Linked DNA regions of Mytilus edulis. The protein of the gene in region 2 interacts with the protein of the main gene of each other region in a pairwise test. Links are inferred from orthologs where the notes say so. Each region holds a gene or a part of one and is shown on either strand. Other genes may lie near its edges.

Region 1 (11,155 bases), on a different chromosome or scaffold from region 2:
AATACTCTTATTATAAAAGTATAAAAATCGTTGGTAAAAAATTACACCACAGGCATTGTCATTTGTTATATTTTATAAAATGTTGCCTCGTTCATCTAGCACTGTCGTGCATTCACTATGCATATTACCTCACCACATATTAAATATTTTGATAATCATAATTGTTACCTGTTACCCATTAAAATCATGCTGACTTTTAATAAGAAACGTGGTAGATTAATGTTTAAGAAACAAAAAAAGTTACATAATACTGCTGTCGTAAATTATATACTCGCATTCGTTCACTTGACGACTGATGCATAGACGAAAACATACATGGCCATTTTGTATAAAAAAAAATCAAGGGGACATCAAACGGTGAGTTCATGACTGTCTGGTAAAAAAAAATAACTGAACAGAGTAAAGTTCTTGACCAAGCACCAACTCATTCAAATTTATAAACGCTGCTTAATGTAATAGAATGTAACGGTCTGACGAACGAATAGATAGACAGACAGACGAACACACGAATGGACAAACATTGTGAATGAAGTATACCACCCTCTCCATGATTCTGTTATGAAATTATATGTATATTTTCTATTGTGACAACTATAAGATGAATGTTTTCTGCATTTGTCTATATTTTTTTTCTTCCGTTAATTCAGTACAAATTAAAGGAAAAGGTATATATATTTTTTTTAAGTGGAGCACTTTAAAAAGTTTTAGGGATAACTTTACACTGCTTGCTCGACTCAAATAATAAGTTATGTTTTATGTGTTAAGAAAGAAGGGTGTGACTGCATTATGTTAAGGTAAATCTAATATTAGCCAATTAACATAATAACATAACCACACTTGCACTGACAACATTAAAAATTCTTATCGGATTAATATATAAAACAGCTTGTATAAAATGATCAAAATTAAAAATTAACAAAAAAAGGGAGGGTAAGATATTATTAACTAAAAAATTCCTAAGACATGTGCTGCAAAAATAAATCGTTAAAAGTTGATCAATTTTCGTATCTTAAGAAGAAAAGGGTCAGAACATGCCGATGATGCTTCTTATTACCAGACTTTACTATAACTCAGAGGCTTCTTTATACATCACATACACATTAACATAATCATAAACAAAAACTGCATAAGAGTTGTTTTCAATATAGGTTTTTATTTGAAATCCAACTTGTGATCTGGTAATTATTTGTCTTTCATATCTGAAAAAATCTATCGATTAAGGATAGCATCAGTGGCCTGTTTTTACATTTTATAGCATATTTCACAGTTATATAAATTGCAGGTATTATGAAATTTTCATTCTCCAAGTTTGACAATAGTCATCGTACTTTTAGATTTAAGAAACACGTACTAAATAATGCATCCCCAAGAGCCATATCTTCGTAACCTCAGTTCTACGGTTACAATATCGATGCTAAGATAAACGACACATGGCCTGCTGGTGCTGATTATTATTCCCTGTGTACCAGCATCATCTGTTGTTTTTTCTTCTAAATTATGACTATTTTGTTTTTGTTTAACTTTTTTGCAATGAATTCAATTGCAAAATGTAAGTTTTATCCAAAAGCTTCCGTGACTGTATATCATGTGAACCGTTTAACGTCTGTATACTCTTTACTTGTTTCTTTATTAGGGATAGACTAGTGAATCTTACAGGAAGAATATCACTGTCACATGTTTCCAGCAATGACAAAGGCCTCTCCTTCTTCTTTTGTGGAAACAATAGGATGGAGGTTTTGATCATCGGATGAAACAAATGACTGTGAGGGTTATAGAACCGTCTGGACTGTTCAAAATGAACTTATCGTTTTTTATGTAGATGAGATCGTTGGTTTTCCCGTTTGAATTGTTTTACATTAGTTATTTTTGGGGCCGTTTATACTTCATGGTCAGTACGAGCCAAGGCTCCGTGTTGAAGACCGTACTTTGACCCCGGACTTTGACCTATAATGGTTTACTTTTACAAATTGTGATTTTGATGGGGAATTGTCTCATTTGCAATCATACCACTTCTTCTTATTTTGATATTATCTGCCACCTTACCTCGTGAGTGTCTCTAGAGATGCTGTGTAGATGACACCTCCCACATCTATATGTACAGGTGCTGTATATCGTGTTGGGGTGGCGGGACATGGCACTCCCGACATCGGTATCTTTGAATAAACGCCATTGTGAAGTGATCTAGGCGAAGCTGATGTCTGGTTTGGCACCGGAGACGTCATCGCCCATTAGGTTTCAATATTCAATATCTATAATGAAAATATAAAAAAAATGTCATTTATATCTCATATATCAAAGTGTCCACATTTCCGCATATATGCAGAAAAGTGGTGATAGATTTAATCTCGTCCTCTTTAGTAATCGTCCTTGAATTTTATCATAAGGTTTACTACAAATATCCATTATTCAGGTTAAATGAGGTAAAGGTCAGTTAACCCAAACGTAAAAGAACTCTTTGCAAGCATTAAAGCATTACATACAAACTGTATGCCACCTGAAGTCGACTTAATATATTTATAGTACCTAAATCGAACCAAATCCCGAAAATTTAACACTGACCAATGAACCATGAAAATGAGGTCAAGATCAGATGAAACCTGCCTGACGGACATGTACACCTTACAACCATCCCATATTTTATATATCATTAATAGCATATAATAATTGCTCAAGTTTCTGAGATATATGGACATAATCACGAAATCTAAGCTTTGATCACTGCTCCGTTGAACAAGATGGAGGTCAGAGGAATCCTGTTTGACAGACATGAAGACCTTGCAAGGATTCCAAATAATTACGCTATTATAGTTATAAAATTTGAGAAGTTTACGTGATTATGTATTTCATAAAAGTCAGATCAACGGAAAAAGAGATACCATAATTTTAGAACGTACGACATCTGTATACTATAGTATAATATATGAAGTATCACAGTAGTCTGCCTTCTGAACTACAGAACTTAATCTTTATACAAAAACACTTCTTTGTGGAGGTTGGAGTTTGCAACTGACAAATCACATGAATTATTTACCGAAGAGTTGGAGGGCAATTGAAATATTTGTAAGAGGAAAACGTTTTTCGTGCAACTCTTACGATACAAGTAAGGACTAGTTATCATGGTAAATTATGAATTGATGGCATCCAGAAGGTGAACTGATGATAAGACGAAAGTTAAGATAGACGCGATAACCTGACCATGACATAACTTTTATTTGTTTGGGATACGATTACGAACCATTCCTCGCAAAGGAACCCTCATGAAAGATAGAGAGAGTAAAACAAAACATTTTTGTGCCAACATAAATTTATTTCATACCAGAATATTTGAATTGTACAGCTTAGTATATTTCTTAACAAATCTTAATCGGATATCTTTTCAGGTTGAATGTGCGTTGTACACTACAAACTGACATGTTCTAAATGGTTGTGTTTCCGTTTCTTACTAAATTAAAATCACCAATGCATTCAACTACATTCGTCTATAGTAAAAAAAAAAAAACAGTTTTAAAAATGTTTCCATCCTAAAAGTTTGAATGTATAGTCTATACCAGGAATGAATCACTCTACGGATGATGTTCCATTGTGGGTAATTGGACGGAATGTTAATCCTGACACGAGAGTAGCGGACATGAGGTGTAAAAGTATTTAAAGGCAAGAGGCAATGATGTAACAGCTATAGTACTAATCATATACATGTATATATGCTTCGAGCAATAATTAAGGACTTAAATTTTAAGTATGATATGAAAATAAATAATCTGAAATATTTTAAGAACATATGATTTTATATTTATTAACTGAATCATTATCTAGAGAATTATCAATAACAAGAGATTTTTGTCACTTATGTGTTTAAACATGAATATTCAAATTACAAATAAAGCTATAACACTTAAATATTGACATTTATAAATACCATTATAATTTGACAAATAGCCTGCGGGTAGATTTATTCATTGACAAAGAGGGACACTCTGTGGGAAATAATAAACTGGTCGATTTGAAAATACATAAATACATGTAAATAATCGTTAACAAAATTTCTTTTGGTTATTTTGATGATAAAACAACGAAAACTTGGTTCCTTATTAGGGAACTGTTGATTTCCTATTAAAGTTGTAAGGACAGTGGTGATTTTGCATCAGTGAGATATATATACAACATTTTACTATCAATGTATGATCCCCTGTTAAACCAACGATAGATTTGATTTATTGTTTTCTATTAAAAAAGAAATATGAAAATTGTATAAGCTATAATTAATTAATCAAGTTTCACAGCGTAATGGATTATCTACACACAATAACATGAAATACCAATAAACTAAAAGATCAATGAATCATGAATGTATAACAAATATAACTTTACCTGAAATATATGCTTTCTTCACTAAATTTCCCCTGTTATTGTAACATGTATATACCACTAAAATTTTCTAAAGCTTCTCAGATCCGCCTTCTTCATTTAAATGAGCTTTTACCGGCGTCGGCATTGAACTGGCGGGTATTATACCCCAAGGCAAAATCGTATTAACGCGGCTTTTTCTACATTATGCTATAGGCTTCATAGTTACATATAGGTCACGTTTAAATGAAGAAACTTTGCCTCAGGCAGAGATCCATAGCAACCAAACAGATGCTGTGTTCAATTTAGTTTGGCACAATACATTCATTAGTTATTTATAAACGACAAAAATGTCACCGGGCTATACTTTCATTTATCTGTCTTGTGCGTTAAACTTCTTGAAATACTAATTTATTAATGAGGACAATATGTCATTTATTTCTTCAGAATACACTAACAATATACTGGGTATTCATGTTTTCATTGTGAATTATATCTATAAAATATAAAAAGTATCAAAATCAGCAACAGTTGCAGTTTCTGATTGACAATGTAACGCAAATATGTCGTTCATGTTCTTGTCGATAAACCCAGATTTGTTACAACATTGATAAATCAACAAACGTCCGTAAGTCTCACCCTTTTCGCCCCCACCCCCACCCCCCTCCCACCACCAAAATGGAAAACAAAATAAATACGGTTAACAACACTAAATATTAATCCAAAGGTCCCCCCCAAAAAAAATAAAATAAAAAAAATATAAAAAATATAATAATAATTAGAAAAAATAATTTAACACCTTCCAACAAAACCATGAACCCAAACCTGATGTAAATCGATACATGGGTTGTATTATCTCTCTTAATTGTACATAATGTAGTGGCAGATCAAAGTATGGATAGAGGCATTTGGGTAAACTAAGTACGGAAGCCCATATATGACCCCCAAAATATTTTTAAAATTTGTGATCACAAATGGAGGTCGTGAATATTCATGTTATTGATTCAAATTGGTCTATATTTATGGTCCTAAATGGGTTTCACTGTAGAAGTATCATAATTCCATTCGCAGGAACTGTGTTTATATTTATATTGGGAGAGGACGTCTCTAATGTTGTTATAACTTGTGTCCAATCCCTTTTGCTACTTATGCAAATAAAATATGTTTAAACTAAATTAAACTAGGAACTGAAAAAAAGAAGGCATTTCGCATCCAATTCAAGTTGTTACGTTCATATTAATAACATGAATAATAAAGCTAACAATTTCACGCATTTTCCGTCAACACGTTCTTATAATGGGCATATTGATAAATATTCTAAATAGCTGTGTAGCAATAAGGGACAAAAAAAAACCCGGTCCAAAACAAACATTTTTCATATTTCAGAACAATAATTTGTGTACAAGAGTAGGGATCTCTAGGATATTTTATTACATGGTTCCATACTTCGAAAGAAAATTTGCAGAATTAATTCGCTTAATTTGTGGTTTACAGCAGGATGAAATGTTTTGTTCTTCTGAAACGACAGTAAGTGAAATCGTTCTGCGCATATCGTGTCTTCATGTAGCTTTATTTATGACAGTGCCGTACGCACATTACAATGAAGTACAACCGACGATATTAGAAAGTACGCCGTACGACGGGATTATTAGGAGATTAGGTAGTTGAATATAAAAATAAGATGTGTCATGATTACCAAATGGGACAACTCTCCACAAGAGATCAAATGACACAAAAATTAACAACTATAGATCACCGAACGACCTTCATCAATGAGCAAAACCCATATCACATACTCATCTATAAAAGGCTCCGAAATAACAAATCTTAAACAATTAGTGTACTTTAATAGTTAATAGAGTTCTTGGTAACATATATTATTCTTTAGGATTGTTTAAGTTGTTATTGTGTTTTTTTTTTTTTATCTGGTAACCTGAACATTATTTTAAAGTTAAGGTTTTCCCTATACCGTTTTATGTTCATTTATGCATATTCTGTTAGTTCAAGTACTGATCGAGATTTATAATGTGAGAGATCTATAGAACAACATAGTTTAACCTCTCAACATTATTACCTGCCGATCCCAAGGTAAGGAGCCTCATTCGTGGGATCAAGGTTTTTTGTTGTTGTTGATTTAATTTGATGTTCATTGCAGATTTTGAAGATTTTAGTTACTAATAACCGAATTGTTATGCCCCATTTATGGGCATTATGTTTCTGGTCTGTGCGTCCGTTCGTTCGTCCGTCCCACTTCAGATTAAAGTATTTGGTCGAGGTAGTTTTTGATTAAGTTGAAGTCCAATCAACTTGAAACTTAGTACACATGTTCCTTATAATATGATTTTCTAAATTTAATGCCAAATTAGAGATTTCCCCCCATTATCACGGTCAATTGAACATAGAAAATGAAAGTGCGGATGGTGCATACGTGTACTAGGGACACATTCTTGTTAAAGACTTGGGACAATTAACAGCTTGACATATTGTTTAGACTTGGGACAATTAACAGCTTGACATATTGTTTAGACACTACGTATTTCAAACTTTTGAAAATGGGATTATCAAGAAAAAGATACGTTTCAAATGTCTGAACCACTTATATCAGTTTTTGAAAATTTATGTTAAAAGTAGTTTTACCAGCCACCCAAACAATAATATTCCCACCTAGCACATTACCCATTCGTCTCAACTCGGCCGATTGATCATTCTGTACCCTAGTAGTGGATTCTACAGATGATTGCCAAATGGCACATATCATGCATGAAATGTATACAATTGAGGTGTGCTCTGCCGTAATATCTTTAGACATTTAGGAACAGTAGTCAAATTCATGATAAAGTCGACGCATTAAACTCTCATAGTAGTTATAAAAAGGTACCAGGATTATAATTTAGATCGCCAGACGCGCGCATTTCGTCTACACAAGACTCATCAGTGACGCTCAAATCAAAACAGTTATAAAGCCAAAGATGTACAAAGTTGAAGAACATTGGGGACTCAAAACTCCAAAAGGTTATGCCAAATACGGCTAAGGTCATCTATGCCTGTGATAGGAAAATCCTTAGTATTTCGAAAAATTCATAATTTTGTAAACAGGAAATATATAAAAATGACCATATAGTTGATATTCACAAAACTCTCTGACGTTAGCGGAATGTCTTATTTTTTTTAAAGGGAAAGTTCGCGATTTTTTACTTATCATCTAATTATGTTCATCTTAACATAAAAAACACATTTGCAAAGTTTTAAATTTATATTCCTTCTAATAACGGAGAAAATCAAGTATTTGTAACTTTTTTGGTTGAATTCTCGAGTGGGTCGTGACGTATTAGCCCAATTTATTGAATTCTGGGAAAAAATAAAATCTGTTTAACTCTTATAGCTTATCGACAATATACGTAATTAAAAGCGCACAGCTGACGAATGGTCGAAGTTATTAACCACAATATATATAAGAATGAACGAAAATGAATGTGCATATACCGTTTTGTATTGATTGAATCAAACTCCTATAAAATTATCTCTAGTAAATGTTTTAGAATAAATTTAATTAATTATTGTTGAGATTTTTTTTCATAAAATATTTATTGAACATTGTTACTGATATTGAACTGAAAATATTTCAGTTCTATTTACCGTTATTGTTTTGATAATCATTTCAATGCAACTAATGTGTGAGCAGAGTGTGTATGTTCCAGACCGTATGAGTATTTGGACCGTACGCGTACGGTCTAGCTTATATTAAGAAGTTTGTCAAGATTATTAGATGCAAATGTATATAACAGATCAACATGACTTATATCTAAAATTGATATAAAAAGTTCAATAATAAATGAAATAAAAACTTAATATTTTTTATCTATTTAAACAAATCACGCTTATTTAATCTGTTAATCTCCTGTATTTAGCATGTCAGTAATTCATTAATTGCAGCCCAGTATGCTCATTGAAATTGAAGTTATCGGAAGTAAACATAATGTGGGAGGACAATTGTTTAAAAAAAAATTAGGAACTTTAAAAAAAAAAATGCTTATGCCAAGAAACATACATGAACAAAACACGTCATTGTAAAAAAAATTATGACGTTCCTTATGGTACTGAACAAGTGTCACCTTGTGCCAGAGTAACAAAATATGATTCAGATATACAGTTAAACAAATATTTAATTTCAATTGTTCGCTTATTCACTTTATCCATCTAATTGTAATAATAACAATTTGTATAACTAATAAGACAGATTTTGATAAATTTTTGTTTAAATTTAACCCATATGATCTCAAAACATGCATGGGTAGCTGGACCGTACGCGTATACTCATACGGTCCGACCGTACGCGTATGGTCGGACCGTACGAGTATACGTATACGGTCCGGACCGTACGCGTACGGTCCGAATACTCATATGGTCTGGAACATGTATATTATTTTGTAAATGTCACTGTATATTTCTCGGCTTGAGGTCAATTCGTTTACCTTGTAGCTATTTAGCCGCAGGTGTGAGTTCAAGCGTACACAGGTATAAATGTTGTTATTTGGAAAGGATAAACAGAAAGGATTAGAAAGCGTATGCTGTCACGATGTTAGTACACTAAGATTTAATACACGATGAGAATAAAGATACAATAATTAAATTGTGTAGATTAATTGAAAATAAAATTCAGATTCGTAATTCCGAAAGTGTATAAAAATAAAAGGAAACAATTTTTGATTACTTTCTTAACGGCAATTGGCGTAAAGATTCAAATATGAAGCAAAAAATAGTAGTTTTAATCTTTTATAAAAACTAAATGCAATATTACCCAATTTGATATACCATTGTACATCTGTTTGATATCATTGACTTTACCGGAATTTCTTAACTTGTATTCAAATCTGGCTGTGTTTAAATGCTAATAAAACTATTGCAATTTTAAAGTTTTTAATTGACAAAAAAATACAACATACAACATGCATGCAGGGCTTTCCATTGAAGCCGGTAGCCGGCGGAAATCCGCCGTTTGCGGTGGCTTCAAGTGCCGGCTACTTCACTGACAAAAATATAAATTCAAAAAGAAAATAATATCTTTTTCAAATGTTTACAGGCAGCCGAGAGACGTATTTTCGCAAAGTCGCGGTCACGATAAACAAGGATGAAAAGTCAGTGTTTACCTTGGGCTAAATATAGTTCACATGAATTCAGGTCACTGATTGGTTGTCTGTTTAAAGTCAGAATGCATCGTTTCTTTTCAAAGATAACAAGAGAGACGTTCCGGTGGTCATTGAATGATAACAAAAAAAAGTAAAATCACAAAAATACTGAACTCAGAGGAAAATCAATTTGGAAAGTCCATAATCACATGGCAAAATCAAAAAACAAAACGCATCAAAAACGAATGGACAAGAACTGTCATATTCCTGACTTGGTACAGGCGTCCGAGGGTCATTAACTCGTTTGCTTTTTTACTTTTAAAACGTGAAGACAATCAGATAGGATGACAATCTTAGGGACCGTTCAATATTTATCAGATGGATGGGCCGGTGCAAAATGGGGCGGGGCAAGCACTTTTTTTGTGGAAATATTTGGATGGGCGAGAACTTTTTTTAAAATATTTAGTGGATGGGCCAGAACATATTTTATAGGAAAATTTTCTATCAATTTTATCGGTGTGTAGGAAATTTCTTTTGCGGGCTCTCAAAACATGTCTCAAAAACTGGTAGCTTGGTTCATTTCTGTCAACTTTAAGGATTTAATTAAGGAATAAAAAAGCTAGAATTTTCTGTTCGGACTATCTTATAAATTATTTTGACCTTATAGAATACCAAGTTGTTTGATAGTTTGGTGTTTTGGTGTTAAATTTGTGGATTTAATTAATAGGTAAGAAAAAAAGCTCAAATTTTTAGTAATGGATAAATTCAGATAGTCAACTTTAATTTTTTTTGTAACTTTTTCAAATCAACTTGGATTTTCATAAAACTCTACAGCTAACTCATTAATATATTGATCTTATAGGAAACCAGGTTGTTTGGTAGTTAGGTGTTTTGCTGTTAAATTTATGGATTTAACTAATAGGTAAGAAAAAAAGCTCAAATTTTCATTTTAGGCTAAATTCAGATAGTCAACTTTAATTTTTTTTATAACTTTTTCAAATCAACTTGCATTTTCATAAAACTCTACTGCTATATCATTTTTATATTGATCTTACTGAATGCCAGGCTGTTTAGTACTTTGTTTTTTTGCTTTCATTTTTATGGATTTAGTTAATAGCTTAAAAAAAAAGCTGCAATTTTAAGTTTAGACCAAATTTGGATGGTCACCTTTAATTTTTTTTTTAACTTTTTCAAATCAACTTAGATTTTCATATAACTATACAGCTTTCTCATTTATATATTAATCTTACAGAATGCCAGGTTGTTTGATAGTTTGTTGTTCAGTTGTCAAATTTAGGAATTAGTTCATAGGCGAAAAAGGCTGCATCAAATTCAAAAACATGCCTGCCTATATTTGCTTAAAAGGACCATAATTTCTTTTTCCAAAAGTAGAACAGATGATTCATATTTGAACTAAATGTATACATATATATATGGAATTAACTAGCACATTTTAAATTTTGTATTAACACCAAAGTCTATTCTTCGATTTCAAGACATAAAATTTTAAAAACTTTAAAATAGAAAAAGAACCTCAATCATTTTTGATTGTCTTATAGTTTTAGAGGGGCAAGGACTTTTTTTATAGAAATTTTTAGATGGGCAAGAACTTTTTTTCAGAATTTAAAAGGATGGGCGTTAACTTTTTTAATGAAACAATATTAAGAATGCACCGGCCCATCCAT
Region 2 (11,996 bases):
TGATGATCCTATCTAGTAGCAAATGTTACATGCATATCAGGACAGGAAAATGTTAATGTGATGTGACAAATATTCCATGAGTATGAAACTGGTAATATCGCAGTCCCACAAGGCCACGATCGCACAATTTGTAAAAAAATGAAAATTTTGATGATCATATTACGATCGTGTAGATTGCATTAAGGTCGTATCATGGTCGTGGTGAGGTCTTCCAAGATCGTGATGAGCGTGGCCAACTTTGAACATGTTCAAAACAATCGTGGTGCGGTCGCAGTGAAATCAGGTCAAAGATCTCAAAGGTCGCTGTACCTTCGTAGCGAATTTCTATTCAGAGAGACTCCGCTACGATATCACAGAGACGTTATTACGACCTCACTACGACCATCACTTTCTCACCACGACCCAAGCACACTTCAACTACAACCATACCACGTTTCCACCAAGCTGTTCAAAACCACAATACCATTCTAGCACGCCCTTGTCGTCCTCATCACACTCTTCTTACAACCACACTACGTTCATACTACGACTATCATTCTCATTGTCATTTTCTTGTCATTTTGAATTTCTCTAACGGCTCAACCATGCTTCTCATTTTTATATAGATTAGACTGTTGGTTTTCTTGTTTGAATAGTTTTACACTAGTAATTTTTGGACCCTTCATAGCTTGCTGTTCGGTGTGAGCCAAGGTTCCGTGTTGAAGGCCGTACCTTGAACTATAATGGTTTACTTTTTTAAATTGTTACTTGGATGGAGAGTTGTCTCATTAACACTCATACCACATCTTCCTATATCTATTGACACATCTGTGTCATCTCTGTTATCGTTCACTAAAATATCGTTATTTGAACTTGATGGACCAGCAATAGGTTGTAATTCAGGTTGGATTGGTTGGTCCGACATCTCTTCTGGATCAGGATCTGTTACTTTAAGGTGACCCTTTGCCTCTACATCAACCCTTACCACCACGGCCACGTGTTCTAGTAGATTTTGGTGGCATGACTGTATTGTTTTTAAGAAATCTACGTATTAATCAGAAATAGAAGGAATGGAACTGTATATATGAAACACCATGTTGACGTTATTGCTGAGAACTGAGAGCGTAGTAAGATTGCGGTATAAACGTATTATAATCGTGGTAGAGCATGCCACAATCGCAGTAGAAGCGTGGTGCAATCGGATAACTCGTGATATGGTCGTAGTGGGAACGTGATGAGCGTCGAAAGATCTTGATAAGTGTAGTGAGGTTGCAGGATAAGCGCAATGAGAACGTGGTATAATCGTAGCGGGATTGTTGTAGAAGGGTAATGAGGATGTAGTAGCATTGTGAAAGCAACGAAAAATTACATTTTTATGCCGCTCATACCGCGACCTCACCACAATCTGAATTTATTTTAGATCGCGGTGAGCGTGGTTCGATCGTTGTCTAGTGGGACTGGGGATTTAGGTACAATAATGAGCTGGTTTTTAAACAAGGTAGGTAACAAGGTTTCAGTCCTCAGGAATACATTTAATACAACAAAGAATCATTATTCTGACCAGTCATAGCTCCTACTCCTAAATGCAATGTACTAAGCATAAAAGCTTCAAATATCAATTTTCAACTACATGTATTTGGTTTGACCTAGTCTGGGTTAGAAAGATAAAACTAGTAAGCATATTGACAAAACTAAAAAAAAGTACTTGAAAAATGCTTTACAGTTCATCTGTGCATATTTACATATATATATATATATATATACAAGAGTCATGAGAGTATTGGGAACCAAATTTCAGTGTTTATATATTTAGTGGTTATCCTGGCTTCCAATCTTTCCAAAAAATATATGAAATCATTATTTACCCCTTTCTTGCCTGGTATTGCACATTCCCAATTCAATAAATTTAATGTTCCATCTGGATTTTTGGTTGGTCTGGCTACAAAACCCTGCAAAGGAAAATAATATAACAACATACTCTCCCTCAAAATAAATTAAATCCTACAGAATATTTGTTACAGGAATATTAAAATGACAAATACAGTGCACTTTTTTATTTACAATACTTCTTGAACAATACAACAAGGAACTCAATGACATTAATGTAATTCTATGAAATAATTTTCTTGTTTTTAGTCTATAATAATATATAATAGTTTGACTTACAAATGGGTGATCTTTCCTCCAAGCTTTTCTTTCTTCACTCAGTCTTCCTACAGCTATGCCAGACATCTTATTAGTTCAACTGCAAAAGTAAAATACATACAAATTTATTGATAAATATTGAAATTGGTTACATGAATTACAAATTTTCCTTCATGTTGTGGATGTAGGTAAATCATGAATTTGAATGGTCAACAGAGAACAAATTTTCTTTAGTCTTTTCGGTTGAATTTGGCAGCTTTGTTCTTTGGCCACTGAACTGTATTTCCCATTAGCAGTTGGAAAAAATTTCTAACAAGTTGAAGTTTGATTTGATAAAACAAATTGCTATTCGTTCAAGTCACAGTAATAAGTTTGTTCACTCATCAAAAGAAGACATAAATAAACAAGTAGCTTTTCTACTAAAAGAAATGCACCTGAACATAATTGCCTGTTTGGTTTGAAAGATCGGAGAATTATAATATAAAGATGTGTAAATCATTCCTCATAAACATAATACATTGTACATGTAGAAAACATCTATAGATCCTAAACATAACTATATGTAGACTACCATTAGTTTGAGCAAATTTGTGTTTCAAGTAATTTATGAAAGAAAACATTACAACATGCAAAATAGGAGCCAACCACAGGATGTTCCATTTTGAGGGCACTGTTTTAGAAATTTGTATACTTTAAACAGGTGATCAAATTGTAAACACTTGAAAAGCCCTAAACCTTATTTTGAGAAATGTATTCTAACCAACCACATACAGGTAGTCATTAATAAATAACTTATATGCAACATCAAACATAAAACAAATTGTATTGTTTTACCACAAGGTTTTAATTAATATAAAGCCAAAGAATATCATTCAGTCTCTATAAATAGTTACCCAGTTTCACTCCTAAAAGGTCCTTTTGTATTTCTTTATTTTATTTTATTTTTATTCCTATTTCTACATGTCTACTGTTAAAACAATTTAGTATATTTGTTTATTTCTCCTTTGAAATTATTATGTGTAGTCCATAAGATTAAAAGTAATTCTATTTGCAGTTATAAATTATTGAAGAAATGGAATAGTTTTAAATAAATATTATCGTTATTTATCTGTACAATTTTTTTTTTTATAGAAATTTTTATTCAACGAAAGAAAATGAAAGTTTAAATTAAAAGAAAATGCCCTTTTTGTTTCTTTTTAACCATATATTAAAATAGAACATCTAAAGCAAACTCTACCTTTTTTCTCTTCAAATATCAACCACCTTCAACAGGAACCCTAACATGCGTCTCTAATTTAAAAAGTAAAGGTATGAGATACTTATATTAGAGTCTGACTTTTATTACTCCAACAAAGTCTTAAAAGATTAAATACTTAGAAACTCCAAAATGGATTTTAATTCTTCTTTATAAACCTCTTTTAAGTATAAACATTACTTTTTCTAAAGTTTTGGATAATGTTTTATATCATGATCAATTAGTAAAATATAACTCATTAGCTGCCAAATAATACAACTTGAATGAAGAAAAAAATATTCAAGTCAAATGTTTATAATAATTGGTTTATTAATTAAAGCAATGGCTTTAATTATCACCATTCACAAAAATAGTGTCTCATTTTTTTTTAACATGCCTCCAGCTATTCAATATAATGTTTATATTGCAGGGTACAAAACAAAATTGTTTTCCTTTTATTTTTGGACATGTTGGAAATCTATATAAATTCCTTCAAAAACATCTTCAAAAATAGGGATGCAATTTTGGAAAGGTACCAGTCAGTACTCCCTTTAATCACAAATGTTAAAGCTAAGTCAAACTGTTTATGATTTTGTAAAACTTTACTTTTCAGCAAAAATGACCTTGACAAGTTTTGTCAATTACTAATACATGTATGTGTTTATACAATTTAAGCATAATTACATTTACATTTACATCCTTAACTATTAAGATTATAACACAAAATTTGTTTATATAACAATAATCAGCCTTTTATATCTCTACCAGTGAGGGTGGCAGGTGCCCTTTAGATGTTTTTACAACAATGAAATGTTCAAAATGGCTGGATCCACCCCAGAGCAGGGATAGCAGTATAGGTCACTGGTGCTGTGTGCAAAAAATTAATGTCTCATGATTCCATTTCTTTGGATGACACTTTGGTGAAAAATTAAACTACATTGTAACAGTAATTTCTTTTTTATATGACAAAATTATTGGAAAACAATTGATTTTTTTACCAACAGCAAATTGGAAGCATGATTTTACTTCAAATTACAGTTTCAATTTTGGGAAAAAGTCACACAGACTAGTCACTTCTTAGTTATCTTGTCAAAAGATTAAGTAACTCAGAGAAGTAAATTATTTGGTCTATAAAAATAGACTAGTCGGTAGTCTAATAAGAATCTTCTTCCTTATAATTGAGTTTTGTTTCTAACAGTCTACAGTAAGCTTAAACTCTGTGGGCCTACCTATGGTCACATTACAAATCTAGTCCCCTTTGGTTACATACAGTATTTACAATAAAACCCAATTGATAAGGTTAAAATTATTAACAATCATTGAACAATTTGAGTCTGGGATGCAGGATGGGGCCTTAACCAGGAAAAAGGGATTTAGTCTGAAGGGGTTGTGGTAATTCAAATGTTTATCATTCAGCTTTGTTTTCAATAGCATGTCATTGAAATAGTTACTCCACGGATTAGAAAGAATAACTTGGATATCCTGTTTCCATTTAGGCAAAGAACCATTCATGATTTTCTTGTTTTAACGAAGATAACACGAAAAAATAGAATCTATTCAAAGATAACAGTTGTATATATAAAATCGTACAAATATGTGAGGGTACTTTTACAGTTTTATGTGTCATTCAAAAGAGTAAATGGTTTTAAAGAAAAATCCTTTCTCATTTCACGAAACTTACCGCTGGAAAAACTATGTCACGTGAACAGATCAATTAGACGCTTTACATTAATCTAACACCTTCGCGTCAAGCGTTTGTACGATGTATGTCAACTATTTTTTTCTAAGGGAAGCAACTATGTAAACAATCCCTTTCTTCACAGATGGCAAAATCAGAGAAGAATGTCCACGTTACAGAATACTTGAACCAAAATATAAAGACTCTATCAGATTTAAAAGATGTTCATAAAAATATAAAAGAAACTGTTGAGTCATTAGGACAACAAGTAATTAATGCCTTAAGTCATAGGAACAGTACACATGAATGAATCCATGACAAATCGCCCCACTGGCAAATCGCGAGTTTGTGAAAAAGTGTGGCGATTTGGTGTTGGGCGTTTTGCTAGTGTGGCGATTTGTCCTGCTTCCCACAGGAATGAGGATGAGCAATTTCATTTTGCTCTGTTTTTGAACTGTTGAAACATTTATGAGGGTAGTAATGGGGGTACCTTCATGACGTATATCATCGTGTAATGTGTTTTCGTACTAATAACAATTTTCACTGCTTACGGTTTTTACTGTTGAGTTTTTATTTAGGTGTTTACTCAAATTTAAAAAGCATGTCCTGTAGATTGATTTTAGGTATCTAGTTTTTTTGTCAATGATTTCTACGATTTTTTACTGTTTCCGATTACTTTGCGATTTTTGTATGTCAAAAAAACGGCGTCATATGTTTTCGTATGAAATAAAAATTGGATCAGTACACGGACAGGAAATGACTACAAAATCCGGAAATACATTTTTTCTAAAGTCGTGGTTCGGGTGATCGCTTAAATCTTAAAAAAAGTTATTAAATACTTTTCAGTACAAAAAATTACTAGTAAAAAGTGTAAGGTTGGTGTTTCGTGTGATGAAATTTTTACGGATTTTGATTAATTTCAGATTGGCACCTGGTTTGTACAAAATACATTATTTTTTCTAAAATAAAATGCAGTTTTCAAAATTTATGATTAAATATAAAAAGTTAAGACTGTTTTCATCTTCATGTATCAAGGATGTATAAAAAAAATTGTCAATGAAATATTGAATAGTTAGATTTTGAACAACCATTTTATATAAGAACCCTGCTAATTTTAACTCGATGGTTTGTAATTAAAACGGCCAAAAAAACACATGACAGTCATACGTCTTGAAGATCCGGTGTCTGACTTGCAAAAAACATATCTGGACTTTATTTTAACCCTTCAGAATTTTTTTCCACAACTATTCTAGTGATGCGTATTTTTGACATTAAATAAAAATGGCTAAATAGGTCAGTTTTATTTAATTTGTTCTAACGTCTTTAAAAAGCGACGTTGAATATGTTTTAAATATATCAAGTTGTAGTGGTGTTGTTGTTCTAAATATAGAAACAGAAAAACATGCCACAATGTACGCGTATGCAGTCGAAACCGACGAAATGTGGTTGATACGAAAACATATGACATACGAAAACATATGACACGACGATAATGGTAAAAATTCTTGCCAAATGACGTTAACAGTAATTTTTAGTGCATGACGATTAATTGTACACTTTCTTTTAGACGATAAAATTATCTGAATTTGACGAATCAAGCTATTTTTTTTCCAAAAATAATGGTGATGATAACTATTTGAGTCTTTAGTCTTTATGAAGCAGTCAGGGGACTTACTTAAATAAGTGATTTTCTAAATCACTGATTCAAGTAACATTATTTCCATAAAGGTTGGAAGTTAGAGTTGTCTTTCTTTAATAATCACCTATTTAAGTAGTACAAATTAATCACTAGAAGAAGTGATTTAATTTTATTGTAGCTTTAAATATAGAATACTAATGATCCAGGGACTAATTATGTTTCTAAACTTATCAGAACCAACATCTGTGTTGTCTAGGATGACCAGGTCATTTCAGGTGATGACCTTGTACTGAATCTAGGATAATGACATAAAAATCACTTGTTTAAGTATCAGACCTCAATTTCCTTCAAAAAAATCACTTCTTTAAGTATCATTCTTATAATAACCCCCACTAATTTCAACATCCCCGAACAGTGAAATTTTTATCGCGAACAGTAGAATTTTATTACATAATGATAATCTGAAAGATAAAACCTTGAACTTCACAGGAAAAATACTCCCACTGCTGGGAAAAATCTTTTAAGAAAATATCAGTTCATTATGTAAAGCCATTATTATAGCATTTTTTCAACTAAAATAGAATTTTCAGCTAAATGATAGCATCAAAGGCATAAACCTTTCTACTTAAAAGAAGCAAAAAGTTCATTTTTTTTAATTTTACTAATTTATAAAAAGATATTTTTTAAACCTATGTGTTTAAAATTTTGAAAAAACTACAAAATCCCAATTTGTGACAAAACCTCGAATTTGCTACTCAAATAAGTGATTTAAAAATCACTTATTTCAGTACATTGTAAGTCCCCTGACTGTTGAGACATCTGACGAATCACAGTAAAATTAAACCAATTTGACACTATAGGTAGTAAAAAATTACCGCTTGATGCCTGTCAGTAAAGGGCATATAATTTACATCCCTCATTTATGCCTAATTTCTATACATGTCTACTGTGCACATACATTTGTAGATTACTAATATTATAGTTGTATATTTTGTGAGAGTTTAATGAAATGAAGGTTTAAATAACCAAATTGAGGTTTCCACAGGGACTTGTCAGTGTCTTCAAGACGAAGTGTAGTATAAAAAATGACCTTCCATTAGTGGCAGAACCAGGGGTTGTAGAAATTCCTTGTTCAAATTACATATTTAAGGTAAAAAAGTGCGGACTATACACAACCAATTACGGTAATGCATATTTTATCTACAAAATCTAATATTACTGCAACAATTCTTTTATTTTTCTTAATAATAATATTTTTAAAAATGAAGTGGCGACTTGTCTTGGTCCCGAATTGTCGAAAACTGATGCCAAAATTACTTCAGACTTTGGTGTCAAAATGTCTTGTTACTGGGTTGTAACCACCCCCTGTTTTAGGATCAATGCTTTTGAATAGGGACATGATAATGATGATATTGTTGACCCCCCCCCCCCTCCTTTTCAAAATGACTGGACTGCCCTCAAATTTTTGTCCAAACAGTAAATGTACAAAATGTATATTCATTATTGTCACAATAGACCTTTAAACTTTGGATGTCAAACAACGATTGCAGTTTCATTCTTGCATCTGTAGATTAAAATTATTTCTTTTATGTTGTCAAATTTTTATAGGAAGGAATGCCTGATGCTTCATATACGTGTATTTGTCAGCTTTAACAAATTACTTCTCTTCCAAGACACTTATATTTTGACGTATTTAAAAGGAGATGATGCCTGATGCAACAGATATTTTGGCATCAGATATTTTGTAATATGACGTCAAAATTTTACAGGAACCTGTGTCATGTCCAATAATGGAGGACAAATAGCCATAAGTTGTATTACAGTTCTTCCCTGATTATTGCGGAGTTTGCATTGCTAAAGTTTTATAGTGGCCTGTGTTATTTTGTGTGAAATGTTTGTCCTTTCAGGCTTTTTTTCTTATTGCTGCATTAATCATGTTAATGCTGCATGCTCTCTGTCCTGCTTAATCTGTAACCCATCAATTGATGAATCATTTTTTTTCAACAACCAAAGACTAACAGAAATGTGAACCCTATTAAATCATTGTAATATTAGGCTAAAAGTGATTGGTATAATCGGTGCAAAAAACTTAGGCCACTGACTTTCTGAGACATTGTGTTTACAAATGTTTGATAATGCAAAAATCTCTACTCTTAAACTAAGCATCCAAGTTAATTTCTGAATGTCATCAAAAAAGCTTTTATTTTTCAGTTACATGAAGCCAGTTCAAGTTTGCCTACTGAGATAGACTATGCTACACAAGGTGCTAATGATACACAGACTGAGGTGACAAACATACAACACCGTAAAGATAACCTTCATCATCAGGTCGTGGAACATGTTAGAAATCAACAGGATGTTTGTAAAGAACTGGAAAAAGTTACGACAGAAATTCAACAGTATCAGTATTATCTGGCATACCTACAGCTGATAGAAGAGGTTGACAAAATGAGGTCAGTTATACTACAGAGATTTTTAATTGTCATCTAACATGTATAAAGTATCCATGATATAACAGTGTATAACCTATAAAGAGTTGAAAATAGAATGTCAAGTGAAATGACACCTTCATGCGGTACAAGCTGGTAGAGTAATTAGGATGGATAAAACCTCTGCTATCATTTCTTTTTGCACCATGTTATGCCTGCATACAATAGCACCACAGTATATTATTTGACAGTATGTCTGTTATCCCCTCCTGTAATAAATTTTGGTTCAACTTGTTGCTTCAGTTTAACATATTTATTTTAACCTATAGTTATCAATGAAGTGCCGTAATGGTCTCATCAACTTAGAAATGAAAACTCTTGTTTATTATAAAAAGATAATATATGAATAACTAAAAAAGTAATAGAGAACAAAAATTTAATTCATATAAAGCATTTAAGTTTAACTATCATATATGTTGTATTTATATTTTAGTTCTGATATTCAGACAGCTATGCAGAAAGATGTAATGAGAAGTGCTGTAGAAAATTTTCAGACCATGACACATGTCTTATTGTCAAATATTTTATATTTTAGTTCTGACATTCAGACGGCTACATTAACAGATGTCATGAGTAATGCTGTGGAAAGTTTTCAGACCATGACGCATGTCTTATTGTCACATATTTTATATTTAAGTTCTGACATTCATACGGCTACGTTAACAGATGTAATGACCAATGCTGTGGTTTTTAGGACCATGACACATGTCTTATTGTCATATATTTTATATTTTAGTTCAGATATTCAGACGGCTATGTTAACAGATGTAATGACTAATGCTGTTGAAAGTTTTCAGACCATGACACATGTCTTATTGTCAAATATTTTATATTTTAGTTCTGACATTCAGACGGCTACATTAACAGATGTCATGAGTAATGCTGTGGAAAGTTTTCAGACCATGACACATGTCTTATTGTCACATATTTTATATTTAAGTTCTGACATTCATACGGCTACGTTAACAGATGTAATGACCAATGCTGTGGTTTTTAGGACCATGACACATGTCTTATTGTCATATATTTTATATTTTAGTTCAGATATTCAGACGGCTATGTTAACAGATGTAATGACTAATGCTGTTGAAAGTTTTCAGACCATGACACATGTCTTATTGTCAAATATTTTATATTTTAGTTCTGACATTCAGACGGCTACATTAACAGATGTCATGAGTAATGCTGTGGAAAGTTTTCAGACCATGACACATGTCTTATTGTCACATATTTTATATTTAAGTTCTGACATTCATACGGCTACGTTAACAGATGTAATGACCAATGCTGTGGTTTTTAGGACCATGACACATGTCTTATTGTCATATATTTTATATTTTAGTTCAGATATTCAGACGGCTATGTTAACAGATGTAATGACTAATGCTGTTGAAAGTTTTCAGACCATGACACATGTCTTATTGTCATATATTTTATATTTCAGTTCAGATATTCAGACGGCTATATTAACAGATGTCATTAGTAATGCTGTGGAAAGTTTTCAGACCATGACACATGTCATATTGTCATATATTTTATATTTTAGTTCAGATATTCAGACGGCTATGTTGACAGATGTCATGACTAATGCTGTTGAAAGTTTTCAGACCATGACACATGTCGTATTGTCATATATTTTATATTTTAGTTCAGATATTCAGACGGCTATGTTGACAGATGTCATGAGTAATGCTGTGGAAAGTTTTCAGACCATGACTCATGTTTATCATAAACACAGTGGATCCCATTGTAAACATCTCCTCAAATTCATCAAAGACACAATTCTATTCTGGTATAAGATACTTCATGAAAAACTTGCAAGGTACAATATATACTATTTGGTAGTTCTTAACAATTTATGTAGATCATGATGATTAAAGTATAATTTATCTGATTGATAAAGATGTTTTTCTACCACTAGTTAAAGTTATTTTAAAGTTGAATTAAATATTAATTGCTTGTTGCCTTTCTCACAATGATACATGTAATTGTGAAAGACATAATCAGAGTGCAAATAAAAAATTATTGGTCCTTTTAGTTCGTACATTGTATTAACAAGAGTCATGATGAACATTTTGACTGCATTTGAAAAATCAGGTCCTATTGGGTTTATACCTTAATAATGCAAAATAAATAAGCACAGCAAGTTAAACAAAAAAATACAAAGTCATACACATGTGATAGTATGAAATTGGGAGAAGTGGACTCATAGATTGTTACTATCATGATACCATCTTTTTTGCAGTGATTTTGAAGAAACATTGAAGTCAGTTGGTTGGCCAATGATTGGGAATACAGTTAAATCTCCACCAGTACACAGCAGTCAACATTATGAATTGCTGGAGAAACTATTTATGTCACTTTTGGCTATACAGCTTCCGTATCCTTATTTATTTCAGTATGACAAAGTAATTAAAAGTAAAACAAGAATGTGTCCATAGTACACGGATGCCCTATCGTAGGTGGGGCATAAAAAGTGAATTTAAATGAAGATTATATAGCTAATCAAACTTATTTTATTTGGTTTCAATATTTATGTGTTTCTTTTGTTCGTCCTTAAGTTCTTGCTTCCCAAAATTTGTTTTCTGTTCTCTTAACTTTAGTTTACTCAACAAATATCATGAAACTTATACACAATGCTAATTACTTCATAGTCAAGTTTGAATTTAGGTGGCATAACTTTTACCATTCTAGAGCTATGGCCCTTTGCAAATTGAAAAATTGCTGAATTTTTTGTTTCCGTTCTCTAACCTAAGTTTGTCTCAATCATATGTCATAAAACTTATATACAATGCCTTTACCATAAAATTCAAATCTACTCTGAATTTGGTT

What was found. The genes of interacting proteins can lie anywhere in the genome.
Region 1: the proteins of SUMO-conjugating enzyme UBC9-B (region 2) and BTB/POZ domain-containing protein kctd15-like interact in a two-hybrid assay, tested with the Drosophila melanogaster proteins (2 studies listed by BioGRID). The link is inferred for Mytilus edulis from reciprocal best matches to the Drosophila melanogaster genes lwr and twz.

What each region holds. Positions count from the first base shown.
Region 1 is NC_092348.1:19,366,347-19,377,501, reverse strand, and holds the start of BTB/POZ domain-containing protein kctd15-like, read right to left. Parts: upstream 4,600-11,155; 5' UTR 4,369-4,599; intron 2,250-4,368; 5' UTR 2,223-2,249; coding exon 2,044-2,222; intron 1-2,043. UniProt on the Drosophila melanogaster protein: Functions with the transcription factor TfAP-2 to regulate octopamine neuronal signaling pathways that control behaviors such as male aggression, male mating, and the initiation of feeding.
Region 2 is NC_092352.1:32,415,250-32,427,245, forward strand, and holds the start of SUMO-conjugating enzyme UBC9-B, read right to left. Parts: upstream 5,113-11,996; 5' UTR 5,040-5,112; exon of another isoform or gene 4,949-5,039; intron 3,411-4,948; exon of another isoform or gene 3,362-3,410; intron 2,225-3,361; 5' UTR 2,212-2,224; coding exon 2,146-2,211; intron 1,929-2,145; coding exon 1,845-1,928; intron 1-1,844. Other genes in the region: RAD50-interacting protein 1-like, read left to right, coding at 5,182-5,304, 8,887-9,128, 10,813-10,986, 11,410-11,544.